Linked DNA regions of Ovis aries. The protein of the gene in region 1 purifies or fractionates together with the protein of each later gene. This does not show direct contact. Links are inferred from orthologs where the notes say so. Each region holds a gene or a part of one and is shown on either strand. Other genes may lie near its edges. The genes, in order: CSTF2, CSTF3, SYMPK and CPSF2.

Region 1 (4,413 bases):
GGTGGGATGGCATCACCAATTCAATGGACATGAGTTTGAGCAAGCTCTGGGAGCTGGTGATGGGCAGGGAAGCCTGGCATGCTGCAGTCCATGGGGTCACAAAGAGTCAGACATGACTGAGCAACTGAACTGACTGAATATGTTTCCTAAGATGTATGGTTATTTTATTCTCTCTATAACATATATCTGGAATTTTTCACAATAAACAACGACGAAAAAGACCTCAAATAAATTAGTAAGAAATTTGCCAGTAACCCAGTAGAAAACTATGCAATGGACATGAACTGTTCATAAGGATAGAAATGCAGATATATATTAAATGTGTGAAAACTGTTCAACTTCAAAACAAGATAAATATGAATGAAATACAATAAGCTACCATTTTTCACCTGTTAGATTGGCAGAGGTAAACAACTTGGATGACTCATACAAAGGTTTATGGTAAGGGTCAGCAAACATCTTCTAAATGGCCAGATAGTAAATTTGGGGGCAGCTTTGCAGGCCATGGGATCTGTCTTGATTACCCAACTCTGCCATTGGAGTATGAAATGAACCACAGGGAATACGTAAACAAATGTGCATGATTGTGTTCTGGTAAAACTTTATCTATGAAACCAAGCAGTGAGCCAAATTTGGCCCCATGGGTCATAGTTTACCAACCTGTGCTCTGATTCAGTAAATGCAGAAATAAATTAAGATCCAGAGAGGTTAACTGCTCCAAAAATAACAATCTAAGTGGCAAATCCAGGATCTGAACCTGGTTCTATCTGTCCTCATAGCCTGTTTTCTCTTAACCACCTCACTATACAGTTTTCTTTTTTCTGTTCTAGAGTTTCGTGTGTGTTCTCTGAGACCATGTGATTTTTAAAATATTTGTATCCTTTAGTTTTATTCTGTATTTATTGAGCTCTTTCTATTCCAAGGGACTCCTCAGTTCTCTTGGAAATACACAGATGAAAACATAACATTCCCTTTCCCTCCAGGAGCTTTAATGTAGCATTAAATTGTTTTGTTTTTTACATTCCCTTCGAATAAGAATTGTATCTAAGGAAAGTGATGAGAAAAGAATGGTCAAAAAATTTTTTTCACCTTAAAAATATAGACTGCAAACAGTTCTGTTTTTAAAAGGAAAAAGTCCTAAATTCTTTCCTCTTCGTTTCAAGGCACTTATAAAAAAAAAAAAAAAAAAAAAAAACCTCTTACTGCCAGGCCCTGGTCTTGAAGTTGACAATAGGTGCTATATATGGCCTTGGAAGAAAAGTTAGGACAAACCTAGACAGCGTATTAAAAAGCAGAGATATTATTTTGCCAACAAAGGTCCATCTAGTCAAAGCTATGGTTTTTCCAGTAGTCATGTATGGATGTGAGAGTTGGACCCTAAAGAAAGCTGAGTGCCAAAGAATTGATGCTTTTGAACTGTGGTATTGGAGAAGACTCTTGAGAGTCCCTTGGACTACAAGAAGATCAAACCAGTCAATCCTAAAGGAAATCAATCCTGAATATTCATTGGAAGGACTGATTCTAAAGCTCCAATACTTTAGCCACCTGATGCGAAGAGCTGACTCATTAGAAAAGACCCTGATGCTGGGAAAGATTGAAGGCGGGAGAAGGGGATGACAGAGGATGAGAGGGTTGGATGGTATCACTGACTCAATGGACATGAGTTTGAGCACACTCTGGGAAGTGATGAAGGACAGGGGAGCCTGGTGTGCTGTAGTCCATGGAGTCACAAAGAGTTGGACACAGCTGAGCCACTGAACAACAAAATGGCCTCACTGCACAGACAAGACTTGTGTATCTCTACTTTTAGAATATGTTTTCTCTCAGTCATGTTCTGTGTAACCAGGTTCATTGTATGTATTGCAACTTCTATTCAAAGTGTTATAAATCTAATGTTGCATTAGACATGCTGTAAGAAAAGGGTATTTGGTAGAATATTTGGTGCTGTCCATTTGAAGACTTTGCATGTTGAATCTCCACAGAGGCATATACATACTCTGGTTTTTCTCTTGGTCAGAGTGGAATGCATGTCAATGGTGCGCCTCCTCTGATGCAAGCTTCCCTGCAGGCTGGAGTTGCAGCACCAGGGCAGATACCAGCCACTGTAACAGGACCTGGCCCTGGTTCCTTAGCTCCTGGAGGTATGTTTTCATTTAGAGTCTTTGCCATTTTGGTGTTTTGCTAGTGTTTTGTTACGGAGAAGGCAGTGGCACCCCACTCCAGTACTCTTGCCTGGAAAATCCCATGGACGGAGGAGCCTGGTAGGCTGCAGTCCATGGGGTCGCTAAGAGTTGACACGACTGAGCAACTTCACTTTCACTTTTCACTTTCATGCATTGGAGAAGGAAATGGCATCCCACTCCAGTGTTCTTGCCTGGAGAATCCCAGGGATGGGGGAGCCTGGTGAGCTGCCGTCTCTGGGGTCGCACAGAGTCGGACATGACTGAAGCTACTTAGCAGCAGTGTTTTGTTATAGCAAATGGCCTAGTATATAGCAAAATTATGATGTGGCAACGAGATCTTGATACTAATGTGTAGCTAGGCAGTATATATCCTAGGTGGAACAAATAGTTGATTTATTGTATACAAATTTACATGTCTGATTATGAGAGCAAGGCAAAGAATGACAAAATTCCTAGTTAATGAGGGGAAAAATAGAATGAATGGAAACTAGACCAAATCAACAAATACAGAGAAAAGGAAACGACATTGTGAAGTTATGATAATAAACATAGAGTTAAGGTGGAAGGAATAAAGTCTCATGTAGTCATTCTGCTAAATGTGAATGGACTCAGTTCTCCCACTAAAAGCTAGAGACTGTTAGGTTAGGTTAAAAAGTACATGGGTTGGGTGGGGGGCAATAAACAAAAACAAAATGCCTGGTGTTGTTACCATTATGTTTAACAAACGTAACACTGTATTTCATGAACTATAGTGAGACAACAACAAGAGGAAAAAAGAATTTTAAAAACTAATATGTTCACTAAAATTGTGTATGTAGGAATTAATATTACACTTACAGCTTTTCATCATTCAGTAACCATAACTAAAAATGTTATGGGTGGAATAGTGATTCCTCATGTGAAACACCTGTGTGAACATATGACATGTATTTAAAGTTTTTTATGCAACAAACTCACTTGTTATTTTATCTAATCTGGCTTAGATTAACTGCAACACAACTAATAGGTGATAATTTGGATTTAAATTTTTCTGCTTTATAAAGAAACCAGTCTAAAGATCTTAAGTTGACAGGGAATGGGAGAAGGGATTTTTTTTTTTTCAGTTTAATTGGAGACTAATTACTTTACAGTATTGTAGTATTTTTTGCCATACACTGACATGAATCAGCCACAGGCGCACATGTGTTCCCCATCCAGAACCCCCCTCCCCATCCCATCCCCCAGGGTCATCCCAGTGCATCAGCCCTGAGCACCTTGTCTCAGGCATCAAACCTGAACTGGCAGTCTGCTTCACATATGATAATATACACGTTTCAATGCTACCCTCTCAAATCATCCCACCCTCACCGTCTCCCACAGAGTCCAAAAGACTGTTTTTCACATCTGTGTCTCTTTTGCAGTCTCGCATATAGGGACATCGTTACCATCTTTCTAAATTCCATATATATGCATTAGTATGCTGTATTGGTGTTTTTCTTTCTGACCTACTTCACTCTATAATAGGCTCCAGTTTCATCCACCTCATTAGGACTGATTGAAATGCATTCTTTTTAATGGTCGAGTAATATTCCATTGTGTATATGTACCACAGCTTTCTTATCCATTCATTTGCTGATGGATATCTAGGTTGCTTCCATTCCTAGCTATTGTAAACAGTGCTGTGATGAACATTGGGGTACACATGTCTCTTTCAATTCTGCTTTTCTCGGTGTGTATGTCCAGCAGTGGGATTGCTGGGTCATATGGCAGTTCTATTTCCAGTTTTTTTAGGAATCTCCATACTGTTCTCCATAGTGGCTGTACTAGTTTGCATTCCCACCAACAGTGTAAGAGGGTTCCCTTTTCTCCACACCCTCTCCAGCATTTATTATTTGTAGATTTTGGATAGAGGCCATTCTGACTGGTGTGAGATGGTACCTCACTGTGGTTTTGATTTGCAGTTCTCTGGTAATGAGTGATGTTGAGCATCTTTCCATGTGTTTGTTATCCATCGGTCTGTCTTTGGAGAAATATCTGTTTAGTTCTTTGGCCCATTTTTTGATTGGGTCATTTATTTTTCTGGAATTGAGTTTCAGGAGCTGCTTGTATAATTTTGAGATTAAATTCTTTGTCAGTTGCTTCATTTGCTATTATTTTCTCCCATTCTGAAGGCTGTCTTTTCACCTTGCTTATAGTTTCCTCCATTGTGCAAAAGCTTTTAAGTTTAATTAGGTCCCATTTGTTTTATTTT
Region 2 (4,413 bases), on another chromosome or scaffold:
TATTTTTCTTAGTAGAATTAGAACATGAACTGGCCTCTCTGTACCAAAGAGGGTTTGGACCCCTGCGAGGTGTCACTGCACTGCTGCAAGGTGGCTAGCTGGTTTTGGAAACTTCAGTGGCGATCTCTCCTATCTTGGAGACAATAATGTGAATTCCACTCTAAAAATGGAGCCTCATCACTTACTATTTGGTATCTTGCATCTTCGGAAAATTTCCATTAGTTCATCCACTTGTACAAAAGGACCCTATTTTGACACAAAGAAAACTTAATCCCCAGTAATCTGATGAGTTAAAATAGCCCCACTTTGTATTTACCATGATAAAAGAGAAAAAGTACATAATTACTACATTTACCCGTAGAGCAAATATCTGTCATGAAAATGGTGAACAAACCTGGAAACAAATAGGAGGAGGGAGAAGTTTCATTAAAACAACTGCTGCAGGTGGCACTGGGAACACTCCACCAGGGACAGGGTGTAAGCCTGGAGCTGTAAGAGAAAGGAATATAGGAATGGGGCGGAAGAAATGTCTATACATGTAATAACTAACATAAGTAATTTGTACATAAATTACTATGTACAAAAAGTCTTTGTTCTGGACACCTTAAAATGTTTTTAGTGTTTTATATGTTTGACCAAACTCAAGTGGGTGAGACAGTGAATGCAGTCTCAACCTCATGGCCACTGAGGGGCAGAAAAGTAAACAAGTGACTGTGCATAAGATGACCCAGAACCTGAGTTAGTCAGTTTTTGTCAAAGATCATGTCTAAGCCTCACAAGTCATTTTTTCAGCAAGCCCATAAAGTCAGTTATACAGTAACATCTGTCATTGTAAGGGCCTTGTTCAAATAGAATTCAGAGACTACTACATATTAGTAAGTATAAACAATACCAAATATCACCAAAGTAAGCTTCCAGCTGTGCAGGTAACCTGTATGTAGTGGCATTTCAGAAAACTCTCTTACGTATCACTGCCAAATGCATTACTGCAATCTGGATCAGTGAAGTTTTTTGTTTAAGACATTTTAAACTCATCTTGATTCAAAGATTATAGCCAAATCACTTGTCATTATTGACCCTGAGTCTAATTATTAACCTATAATGGAAAGGTCACATTAATTTGCCCCCTCCAACCCCCACACACCTCTGGATTAAACCAACAAACAAACTGAGGTCTCAGTACTGGATCTAAAGTCATGGCTTACGTGCTAAATGTCGTGGCTGAAATGGAATCATCTGCTGAGTGTCTGGTTTAGGGTATTCTGGTTTTCTATCCACTTCATCTTTCAGAACAGGCACTATAGAAGGAGCTACAACTGGGTCTGGAATTATAGCTGCTAGCTTAGCACGGGAGACATCCTGAAAATGCAGAACAGAAGAATCCTAAACCTGAAAAAGGGACTTAAGAGTAGAACTGTGCAATTCTACACTCCTGAGGATACACTAAATAACTCGGTTAAAACCATAGCGAGAATGGAGAAAGAAAAGCAAGAACTTCCATGACAGTGAAGACTGACAAATGTAAAGAGTCATTAGACTCAGTGTCACCAGGTGGGACATCTGTAGGATCCTTTTGTAGGTAATACATACCGGGTAGATATATATACCTGGTAGGTAATAGATACCAGGTAGAGGTGGGGTAATTTGGAAGAAAATCTGCAGTTTTAGATATTTTCTGATATCTCCTTTCCACTAAAACTGAACATCATCCATCAAGTTCTCTAAGTGAAGAAGCTGATTAAGTAAGGTGCTCTTTCATGAAACCTAACAAAGCTTATCACTTAACGTTAGTTCATAAGATTTTGCTAATGAAATGAAAAATTATTCCCAACATACTGTTAGAGGGGAGAAGGAATGTTTGTTGAGTAACCACATTTGTCAATTTTTGCCGTTCATTCACTCTTTGAGGAGGTAGATAGGATCACCTCCATTTTACAGAAGGGACTAACGCTCAAAGAGGTTCTGCTATCTCCAAGGTTAAATGGCTAGGAGGCAGACAGAGGAGCTGAGAGCACGGGCCTCTCTGACCTCACCCATTCTGTCTTCTTCTCAGTGTCCCAGCAATGCCTGCCAGGGCTGAGGGCAACTCTGAGAGAGCCTCTTTTGCCAGCATCAAGGGATATAAGAGAATTTCATGTTCTCAAAACTTGCTCTTATGCAGTTGGTGGCAAATCTAAATGAGGACACCCACTGAGAATTGCTTTTATTCCTCTCTTTCCCACTCTCACTTATGTGCCACACACAAAAGCATAATGATCCTTCCCAAATACACAGAATATAAACAGAAATACAAGATGGAAAATTCATGAAGATATTTTCATTAACTTCCTTAATTTCCATTTTCAACTTGGCAAAGTTGAAATAGTCTAAAGATTCCACAAAACAGTCTTAAAAATGCCTTTGGCTTTTCATTAAGAATTTGTTAAACCAGGAGCAGAATCCCCTCAACCTTGAGCAGTAACCCTAGTTCAGAATAGGAATATGGGGCTGGCATACAACTGGAGCTTCCATTAATGAAAAGGTCTGAAGTTTATTTTAATCTGGTTCAGACACAAGACCAGTGAGACTCAGGCTAAAAGAGGGCAGTGAGGAAATGAAGAATGATGGTGAGAACATCCTAGCTGGCTGGCTTAAGGAGACCAATCAATCCAGGACTCATGTGGATATCGCTTCCCCTTGGATTTTCATCTGGTCTTTGTTCACCTGACACAGAAAAACCAGGCAATGATAGAGCAATTGTTTTCTCACCAAGGGCTATTTCCAGGCTATTAATCTTTCCTTTTGGCCTGAATAAGTTCAGGTCCCAGATCTGTTTTCTTAATGGTGCAGAAGTCCAAATAGAGGAGTTCCATTCCTAGATAAGCTGTTGAGTTGACGAAAAAGTTTGTTCCAGTTTTGTTCCAGAAATGGAACGAAATTTTTGGCTGATGAAATAATTTCCTAAAGGCCTCCACTGAAGGAGCCCTGTTTCAAGATATAAACACTTCAAAGAAATTTATGGATTTACCAAGCTATAAAGTTTCTTCATTATATCTACAACATAAATATCAGGAATTACATTTGGTTTAAGATCTCCTGTCAAAACACACTCCTCAGTTTTAAGAACTGTTAGAGAAAAACTAACCTAAGTGACATTCAGATTTTCCACCTGCCCACAAAATGTAAGAAATAAGGCATTGACAATTTCAAGGAAAGAATAAAGTTTGTTAAATCTCATTTTAATTCTCATTTTGTTCATTACTGTTGATAATATTTCACAAACCCAAGGAAAATCCCTGAACTTTTTGTATTCTGCAAATCTATTCTAAAACTAGACTAATTTCAATTTCGGAATTTACTTTAAAATTTGTCCATGAACTATTCTAAAACATTGGGAAAGTAAAGACATCACACACATCGTGAGCCCAAGTACATACCTTATACCCAAGTGCTTTTAGTTCACTTGCAGAGCAAGGATATAAATCCATGAACTTGTATCTGTCTACCAGTAAAGCTGTTTCTTTGCCTTCATACTCTTCTTTGAATGCTGTAAACCGTCTTTTCTCCACTTTGAGTATGCTAGCTAGATCACCGATATTACTTTCAAAAGCTAGAAATCGGGCCCAGATTTCTCTGTAAGAAAATAAATATAATCAATACTTCACTATCCTGGGTTTGGGACTTACAAAAATCTTCCAGTTCCTTCCCCTTCCTTCCCCTTTTTAAAATTATAAGAATCTATTTTTTTTTTATTACAAAGATTTCTAAACTTCCAAACATAGAGTAGTATAATGAGTACCTATATTCCATTACCTAGATTCAGTCATCATTAATATTTTGCTACATTTGCTTCCCCATGTTTTCACTTAAGTATCTGAAAGTGAATTATAGTCATCATAACCTTTCACCCTAAATACTTTCATATTTAACGTGTTTTTGTTTTTTGTTTTTTTAGTTTTTTCTTATTTAGCCTACTTCCTATCATTTGTGGTCAATGAGACATTTATCCTAGAGACAGTAAACTAACTCTAGGTGGGGAAGAGTTGAAAAGGAACCTAGATTTCCAATTACTCCTGAATGATATGACTTCACCATTTTGTAGTGGTATGAATTAAAATGTAGAATACATTCTTTGTACAATGTATGAATAAAAATATATTTCAAAATCTAACATGATTGTTCTCTATTTTTTCCCATTAATAGGGATCACTGGGGACAAATTAGTGCCTCACCACTGTTTTAACAGCCAAAATTAATTCTCTGAGACTCTACTTAAAATGTCAGTAAGCACCTCTGTACTAAAGTAATACAGTGACTTCCTATTTTATGCTAGGTAGGGGACTATCACGAAACTTCTATACTGGGAGACATTATTGCTACTCAACAAGAAAGTAAGAATTGGGAAAGTCAGGAAACCTGCCCAAGGTATAGCTG
Region 3 (4,413 bases), on another chromosome or scaffold:
GCCTCTCGGGCTCCTGGCCTGCTCCTGCCCTGAGAGTCTTGCCCTCCGCTTCCCACACGCATTCTCCCTCCCCGATTCCCCAGCAGATACTTAATAAGGTCCAAGTCTCAGACTCGTCCACTCTTCCTCTGCTTCTTTGACACTTCACATCTACATCATCAGTAAGGACTGCCGACTCTGCCTCCAGACTGTAAACAACATCCGACCATTTTTCAACCATTTCCCCTTGCTGTACCAAACATTTTTTATTCAATCCTCACACATGGGATTCTTTGTTTGGCCCATTTAACTGAAGAGAAAACTATGAATCAGAGAGGTGAAGTGAGTTTCTTAAGGTCACACAGCCAGTATGTGGCAGTGCTGGGATTTTAACCCATGTCCATAACACCATTGCCCAGATGCTCAATCTCCCATCTTTTACTGGGAGAGTTTTTTTTGTCCAATTGAGGTATACTTGATTTATAGTAACATATTAGTTTCAGATATACAACATGGTGATTCAAATTTTTTATAGATTATATTCCACTCAGCTATTGTAAAATATTGACTATATTCTCTGAGCTGTACAATATATCCTTGAAGTTTATCTATTTTGTATGAGGTAGCTTGTACCTCTTAATCCCCCTCCCCCATCTTGCCCCTCCCCCATTCCCTCTCCTCACTGATAAACGCTAATTTTGTCTTTTTTTTAACATGTTAGCATATATAGCACTTTTGATTTTTAAAAATTTAACTGTTTTTCCAAACAAGCAAAAAAAAGTGATATTTTTTTGAGGTATAGTTGATTTATAATATATTAATTTCAGGTAAGTAACATAGTATTTCAGAATTTTCATAGATTACTGGGACAATCTGTGGTATGTTTTCTGAGTTTGCCAAAACACTTTTTGTTCCAGATATGTATCACATGACTGCTATGTGCCAGGCATTTGTGTCAGGCTATAGAAATAGAACTGGATAAAAACAGATATTGTTTCTGCCTTCATGTAGCTGATGGTTGAGTTTCATATTTTTTGACTGATTAGCTTAATATTTAACATAAAATTGTAACGTGATGTAAAAATTCACATTCTGAGCTCTGGGTATAGCCTTGAATTTATTCATTCACTGAACAAATATTTATTGAAGGCCTTTTCATTCTTTCCTTCAACAAAAAATGAGAATCTGCTAGTACTCGGATGGGAAAGAATCCCCTACTTTCAGAGCCCTCCATCTTAGGTAAACAAATTAGTAAACAGAACTCATGATTACATAAGACAGAGTGCTTTAAAATATTAATGACTAATATTTGTTGAATGCTTTCTTATACCCTTCTAAGAGCTTTACATGTATTGTTGCAGTTTTCACAACAGGCCTCCAGGCCTATTCAAAATGAGACAAAGGTGCTTGTTCAGATTCACACCCGTGGTCTGGCACTGCTGCCTCTTAGGTGAACTGTGGGCCCTAATAGCACGAGAGAGTGGGCGTTGCAGGACCAACCTAGACCACGGTCGAGTTCACCTATGTCCGAAGGTACCAGATGCTGGCAGACACGACGGGTGCCTATCTGCCTTCCAGTCTTCTGACACACTGGCCCTGATTTCCCTTTCCTGGCAGGCCGCAGGCTCCCATCACCTGTACAAAGGCTACCTTGACCTTGCCTTTCTTCTTCCATCCCCAGCAAGCGAGACATTGAGCTGCTGCTGAAACTGATCGCGAACCTCAACATGCTGTTGAGGGATGAGAATGTGAATGTGGTGAAGAAGGCCATCCTCACCATGACCCAGCTCTACAAGGTGGCCCTGCAGGTAGGGGCTCCCTGCCCGCCTGGGGTTGCCCCAGCCTGACAGGCCTCATTCGCCTCTTAGAGCCCACAACCAGCGTCATATCCCGTCTTCCGAGGTCAAGATGTGCTGTCGATCTTTAGGGACAGACAACGAGGGGCTCTGAGTTCTAAAGGCCCAGGAGTTGCCATTAACCCATCTTTCCCTGCATCCATCCATCCATTTATGCATTCCGCAAACGGTCCCTGAGAACCAGGTCTTGTGACCAAATGGGCCAGCTGGGTCCACACTGTGGTGCGATGTACATTAACATTATTGAGAGGAAGAAATCCATTTACTCTCTTGCCACCACCTTGAGAGGTCGGCATTGTTGTTCCTTTGGCCTCTTTAAGATCTGAGCCTCCAACACTCAGCCTTGTCACTACCTCTGAACCTTATGAGGGCAGGACCAGGCCTGGCGTGGTCACCACTGGGTCCTGTCCCCCGCATCACCTAGCCCAGGGCCAGGGACGGAGTTGTAATTCAGTGAACATGTCCCCAGTGAATGTATTTATCATCGTTGATGGATCTCTGAGTTGTGGTGGAGTTGGTGATTGGTGTCTTGTCCCCATCTGCCTGTCTGTCTGCCCCTCCCCGGCCCACACACAGTGGATGGTGAAGTCACGGGTGATCAGTGAGCTCCAGGAGGCCTGCTGGGATATGGTGTCGGCCATGGCTGGGGACATCATCCTGCTGCTGGACTCTGACAACGACGGCATCCGTACCCATGCCATCAAGTTCGTGGAGGGCCTCATCGTCACCCTCTCGCCCCGCATGGCCGACTCGGAGGTGCCCCGACGCCAGGAGCACGACATCAGCCTGGACCGCATCCCTCGTGACCACCCCTACATCCAGTACAGTGAGTGCCCCGTCAGCTGCTCCCATTGGCCTGGCACTGCACCAGCTCCCTCCTCTTCCTTCCCCCTTTCCCCCTCTCTTCTTAGTTTTTCATTTCTGGAATCAGTTTAATACAGCCCTGATGCCACGTTCAGATCTCAGCGTTACCGCTCTTACTCACGTGAGCTGGGGCAAACTACTACTTTCTGAACTTTGTCTTGCTTTTGTAAAATGAAAGTGGTAATGGTACCCTTCCAGGCTTGTAGTGCTGTTCCATGAGAATGTGAGCACTCAGTAGTAAATACCAGCTGGTTACACAGTTTTTCTGATTGCAAACTATAAAAGTAGCACAGGCACGTTTTAGTGTCAGGCAATAAATACGGAGGAGTAGAAAGGGAAATTACTTCCTTCCCCGGTCCTGCTCCTCAGAGATGAATACCGCTAAGAGTATTGTTTCCTTTCGGACCTTTTCTCTGCAAAGACAGGTATTTATATGTGTGTGTTCATAGTTTCTGTGTTTGTTGGGTTTATTGTTTACAGAAAACAGGGCCATTCTTAATACTCCCAGCTGAGAGGCATGAAAGTGGAATGGCTTGTGTTTGAATCCCTGCTCTGCCTTTGAGCACCCGACCTGTTCTCTCTGAGCCTGTTTCTTCATTGGTAAATCTGGAGTCGTTACTATGGCATCTCCTTTAGGGTGTTAGTACGAGCTTTTTGGTGAGTTTATATGGCTGGCGTAGTAAGCGTTCCACAGATATTAGATGTTCTTCTGGATTGTTTGACCACGTTTTGAACTCAACAAAAATTAAGTTGCATCTTTTCCAAACAGTATCATGTTCAGATGTTACAAAATATTCCATTAGAATGCCTATATTACATTCTCTATTTTATTCACTGTTTTGTATAATGTCGGATCCAGTAGGTTTTTGCATGATAAATGTCAGGAAAGATACTTGCCACAGTTGTTTAGAGTTAACTTTTGGTGACTGGATCAAGGAACATGGTGGTTCAGAGAATTTCAAGTCCTTTATCTGTGTGTTGCCACATGTATACATATTCAGAGTTTTGCATCAGTGCAGTTCAGACAGATTCCTTATAGTTGGATATGTTAAATTATTTCTACTTTGTCAGTATTGCAAGCCCATGCTTTGAGCGTCATCTCTCGATTTTTATTAATAGTATTATAGTCAAACTCATCACGCACTAAATCTCCTGAGTTTTTTCAGCCAGTCACAGCCATCCATGTATGAGGATCTATCTCCTTTTGGTCCCAAAGACTGCTCTCTCTGGAGGCCAGGGAGAAAGCCCCCTACTAACTGGTCCTCTTCTCTCCCTTGTTAGATGTGCTGTGGGAAGAAGGCAAGGCAGCCTTGGAGCAGCTGCTCAAGTTCATGGTGCACCCTGCTATCTCCTCCATCAACCTGACCACAGCCCTGGGCTCCCTGGCCAATATTGCCCGCCAGAGGCCCATGTTCATGTCGGAGGTGATTCAGGCCTATGAAACCCTCCACGGTAGGTTGGTCCCCTCCCCTACTTCCCCTGTCCACAGACCAGTCTCCTCTTTTCTGAGAAAATGTGGGCTAAATATCAGGCCTCTGAAGCATTCATCATCGTCAATCTAGTAGGTTATGGACATAAGGAAGGATTCTCCAGATTAGACACATATCTATCAGTGATTGCAGGTGACAGAAACGTAGTTCAGAGCTGCTTTTAACACTGAGGTATGTGTGGGTGAAGTGACCTGGTGTCTTAAGTACTTCAAATACTTCAGCTC
Region 4 (4,413 bases), on another chromosome or scaffold:
GATTACTTTTGTCTTCTAATTGAGGAATGAGGTGATATTATCAACAGAGTAGGGTGGAGGGAAGGGTGCGTGATGCTTGAGCAGAGAAGAGATGTGAAATGATGGTCTCAGATGGAATGTCAACTTACTAAGAAAAATCAGATTGGTAGGTAGGACATAGTGCCTGTTTGAGATTTGGCCATGAATTTAAAGAGCAAATAGCATAGTTGTGTGATTGGCTTTTTCCCCCTCTGGCAGCATTGAGCTGCTAGAAAAGACAAGGTGCATGATTGGAGTGAGTGAGGGTTAGGATTTTGCCAGACTTGTACAAAGAAGGACTAGAGCTGCAAAACACTTGAGTATTTGCAAAATAATCATGATGGCTCGTGGATCCATATAACATGAGTGAAGACAGGAGATGGTCATGGACAGTGAAAAAGTAGTCAGTAAATTAGAGATACAGTGAGGCCAAAGGGTTTTTGCAGTGGGAATTCTAGAGTAGGGAAGGTGGGAGTGAGATGGGGAGATCGTTGAAAGTGAAGTTTGGAAAGTGCTGCAGTCATGATAAGGTCGTGATAAGGTCATGGTTTTGACTGTGGTGCCGGGTGGCTGAAGTGAAAAGACTATTGGAGTTGAGAAAGTCAAGAAGAGAAGAGGTCAGTAATGAAGCTACTCAGAGGAAGACTGAGTCAGGAACTAAAGTCCTCCATTAACGAGGAAGGACAGGAAAGGCTACGGCGAGCTGGCTGGGCAGCATGAGTTCAGCGGGACTCGAGTGTTTCCAGGAGGAAGGAGAAGACATGCACTGGAGGCTGCGGTGATGAACAGGGAGCACATGCTTCCTGCCTTTGAGGTCAGGGAATCCAGGAGATATAAGGCCTCTTGAGAAGGCTGGAGGAGACACAGAATCATTTGAGGAGAGCTAGGTTTCTGTGAAGATTTGCGGATGAGGAAAACCTTCAGAGAAGAGGGTGAAGTTCTCGGTGAGTGTAATGGTTCCAGAGGGAATACTGAAAGGATTTGGAAGGCAGAAGAGGTAATGAATTGGTCCCGCTAGGTGGACTTCGGTGATGATGGACAACCTCAGAGTCTTGGGTCTTTGGCTGTGACCGAAGTAAACAAGGATGGAAGATGTGGTGACAGTCTGTTAAGAAAGCTGGGCAATTTACCTTAATTTGTTGATATGACCTTGGGCAGATGTTGAAGGATCATCAGCTGTGCAATGACCTCTCTGTTTTTTTCACATAATAATAATTTTAATAATAGATGCTATAGAGCAACATTAACAGTAATGAAAAGGCACATTAATTAGAGGGAGGTCTAATAACTTAGAAAACTTTTGAATCTTTCAACATCCCCTTTTCTTCTAAGCACTCTAAGGATACATAACTGTGAATGAATAATTCTCTAACTTGCATAGTTAACCAGAAAAGGCAAATTTATTTTAAGAACCTAAGATCTGAAATCTTGCTGTGGAGTTGTGCTTTGCTAATGAATGTTTTTAATAACGTCTATATCAGTTCAGTTCAGTCCCTCAGTCGTGTCCGACTCTTTGTGACCCCGTGAATCGCAGCACGCCAGGCCTCCCTGTCCATCACCAACTCCCGGAGTTCACTCAGACTCACGTCCATCGAGTCCGTGATGCCATCCAGCCATCTCATCCTCTGTCGTCCCCTTCTCCTCCTGCCCCCAATCCCTCCCAACATCAGAGTCTTTTCCAATGAGTCAACTCTTCTCATGAGGTGGCCAAAGTACTGGAGCTTCAGCTTTAGCATCATTCCTTCCAAAGAAATCCCAGGGCTGATCTCCTTTAGAATGGACTGGTTGGATCTCCTTGCAGTCCAAGGGACTCTTAAGAGTCTTCTCCAACACCACAGTTCAAAAGCATCAATTCTACGGCACTCAGCCTTCTTCACAGTCCAACTCTCACATCCATACATGACCACAGGAAACATCTATATAGTAGCACACAATTCTAGGTCCTAAATCCCAATAGATGTTTTCATGTTGTATCTTCTTGAAATACATAGTAAGTATCCCAACTGTATGCCATCAGATATGTCTTGAACACCTGCTATATGTCAGAATCTCTTCAGGAAGTACAAACTATAAGGTACTACAATTGTTTATCAGTTGCTCATGTTCCAGTGCAAGGCTTCTTAACAAAATTCCCTGAAAAATATGTGAATTGCTACATGTATATGGACCTTTTTGTTTTTTTAAGGACTGAGGGGAGCAGGAAAGATCCATAGCTTTTATCACATTGTCAAGCGGTCCTTTATTTAAGGACGACTGGTTTAGTAATAGAGAAAGACACATAAACTAATAACAGTGTAATGCAGTGTAATCACTGCCATCTCAGAGCAAAATAAACGAGGAGCAAATTCACCTTGAAGAATAAGTTTGCTAGTTTAGTATACTACATTTATTTATTGAGAAACTTGCTGGTCTCCCTTCTAGGTAATTTATACATCATTTGAAATCTTCTAACATCCTTTTAATGTATATATTAATATTCATATTTTATAGGATACATAAGTGAGGGAAAATTTAACTAACCTGCTCAGAACCATATAAGTATAGATTCAAATACAGGTCAGTCTGATTCCAAAACCTACTACTTTTCATCAACCACAATGGGGGGCCACTGAAGGACTCTATATACAGGAGGGTGTAAGATTATGTTTGTACCTTCACACTTAACAATGATGGAAATAGGTCTTTAAAATGACTCTGCTTTTATGTTTAACTATGTTTTTATTTCTGTTGAAAGAACCTTTTGGATTGTTGTTGTTGGACCGAAAAAATGACATCTATTATCAAATTAACTACCCTTTCTGGGGTCCAAGAAGAATCTGCTCTTTGCTATCTTCTCCAAGTCGACGAGTTTAGATTTTTATTGGACTGTGGCTGGGATGAGCACTTTTCTATGGATATTATAGATTCCCTGAGGAAGTAAGTTACTGTTAATATTTCTACACTTTTAATAAATCAACTTCTCTTTTCTATGCTGTAATACTATTTTGATGTTACACAGTCTTTGCTGTTTTGCTCTAATTTAGTTGAGAGTAAAACAGTTTCATTTAAACTGAAGAACCAAAAAATGACTTTTTATTTGCGTAGTTTTGATTGACTTGTAAGCTGTGTTTATTGAATGTCACCAAAATCTTAAGTTAATTGTTACTTGATCAATGGATCTCAATAGAAATTTTTGCACCCTAATTTTAGAAAAGAGCAAAATTAAATTTATAAGAATTTGAAGAGAGGAAAACTGTACTTGTAAAAGTTCTGGAGTCAGATCAGATTAGCTTATTTTCTTTTAATCTTTTGATGCTTAGACATTTGAGAATTGGTGCTTAGAATAAAGCCCATGGGATTCAAAAGGATCTAATCCATCAAAGAAAAACTTAGTTGTGTTAGCAGTATTGTACTAATTATGGAATGCATGAGAACTTAAATATTGAAAAAACTGAATAAGAACTTATAGCAAAAAATTTTTTTGTTTCTTTTGTTAATGAGAATATATTATTCATTGACTAAAGTTACACTATCATGAATATACTGTCAGTCATTATGCTAAAAAGCTGAGACAAAAATCCATAATAAATATGTGGCCTTTTAAATGTCCTTTTCTTAACAATTTCTTAAATGCTGAGTTCTTGAACTTTAATAGTATATGAGATAGCCTCTTGAAATCAGTTTATAGGTGGTGTCTACTGTTTTCCTTCCTTTTTTGAAAAAACATGTCTAGACACTATATATTTACGTGCAACTCATACCAGTTTTGATCTCTGTGTAGGACAGGGGTAGTACTAATTGAAATTCATAGGTGACGTAATTTTAGCTCTCAGTTGAGCATGGGTTCTCAGAGTCGGACATGACTGAGTGATTTCACTTTCGCTTTCACTCTTTTACCCCATCATAGTCTTCAGCTCAGAATACTGAGAGGAATCAGAACCGGCAAATTAATTTTGAGTATCCTGCCTGTTCCTTTAGGAACAAGACTCAGTAATAGTCGTCTTGCTTGTGTCCTAGGCACGTTCACCAGATCGATGCGGTCTTGTTGTCTCATCCCGACCCCCTCCATCTTGGCGCCCTCCCCTATGCTGTTGGAAAGTTGGGTCTGAACTGTGCCATCTATGCAACCATTCCCGTTTATAAAATGGGACAGATGTTCATGTATGACCTTTATCAGGTAATTTAAGCAATTTAAAAAAAAAAACCTGTTTTAACACCCCTGCAGTGATCATTTTTAACCTTTTATTTGTATTATTTTTTTTTTTTAGTCCCGACACAATACAGAAGATTTTACACTCTTTACCCTAGATGATGTGGATGCAGCCTTTGATAAGATACAACAGTTAAAATTCTCTCAGATTGTGAATTTGAAAGGTAAAACATGTTTCCAGTGGCAAATAATTGGGCAAATGGTGT

Evidence for each region.
Region 2: the proteins of CSTF2 (region 1) and CSTF3 fractionate together in Homo sapiens (co-fractionation; 4 studies listed by BioGRID and IntAct, with this or other methods). This does not show direct contact. The link is inferred for Ovis aries from reciprocal best matches to the Homo sapiens genes CSTF2 and CSTF3.
Region 3: the proteins of CSTF2 (region 1) and SYMPK purify together in Homo sapiens (affinity purification with mass spectrometry; 4 studies listed by BioGRID and IntAct, with this or other methods). This does not show direct contact. The link is inferred for Ovis aries from reciprocal best matches to the Homo sapiens genes CSTF2 and SYMPK.
Region 4: the proteins of CSTF2 (region 1) and CPSF2 purify together in Homo sapiens (affinity purification with western blotting; 3 studies listed by BioGRID and IntAct, with this or other methods). This does not show direct contact. The link is inferred for Ovis aries from reciprocal best matches to the Homo sapiens genes CSTF2 and CPSF2.

The regions. Positions count from the first base shown.
Region 1 is NC_056080.1:132,553,954-132,558,366, forward strand, and holds part of CSTF2 (cleavage stimulation factor subunit 2), read left to right. Parts: intron 1-2,017; coding exon 2,018-2,141; intron 2,142-4,413. UniProt on the Homo sapiens protein: One of the multiple factors required for polyadenylation and 3'-end cleavage of mammalian pre-mRNAs. This subunit is directly involved in the binding to pre-mRNAs.
Region 2 is NC_056068.1:62,534,741-62,539,153, forward strand, and holds part of CSTF3 (cleavage stimulation factor subunit 3), read right to left. Parts: intron 3,613-4,413; coding exon 3,417-3,612; intron 1,360-3,416; coding exon 1,206-1,359; intron 490-1,205; coding exon 395-489; intron 247-394; coding exon 186-246; intron 1-185. UniProt on the Homo sapiens protein: One of the multiple factors required for polyadenylation and 3'-end cleavage of mammalian pre-mRNAs.
Region 3 is NC_056067.1:53,165,119-53,169,531, reverse strand, and holds part of SYMPK (symplekin), read left to right. Parts: intron 1-1,660; coding exon 1,661-1,787; intron 1,788-2,411; coding exon 2,412-2,661; intron 2,662-3,980; coding exon 3,981-4,151; intron 4,152-4,413. UniProt on the Homo sapiens protein: Scaffold protein that functions as a component of a multimolecular complex involved in histone mRNA 3'-end processing. Specific component of the tight junction (TJ) plaque, but might not be an exclusively junctional component. May have a house-keeping rule.
Region 4 is NC_056071.1:54,629,435-54,633,847, forward strand, and holds part of CPSF2 (cleavage and polyadenylation specificity factor subunit 2), read left to right. Parts: intron 1-2,752; 5' UTR 2,753-2,785; coding exon 2,786-2,934; intron 2,935-4,014; coding exon 4,015-4,174; intron 4,175-4,265; coding exon 4,266-4,371; intron 4,372-4,413. UniProt on the Homo sapiens protein: Component of the cleavage and polyadenylation specificity factor (CPSF) complex that play a key role in pre-mRNA 3'-end formation, recognizing the AAUAAA signal sequence and interacting with poly(A) polymerase and other factors to bring about cleavage and poly(A) addition.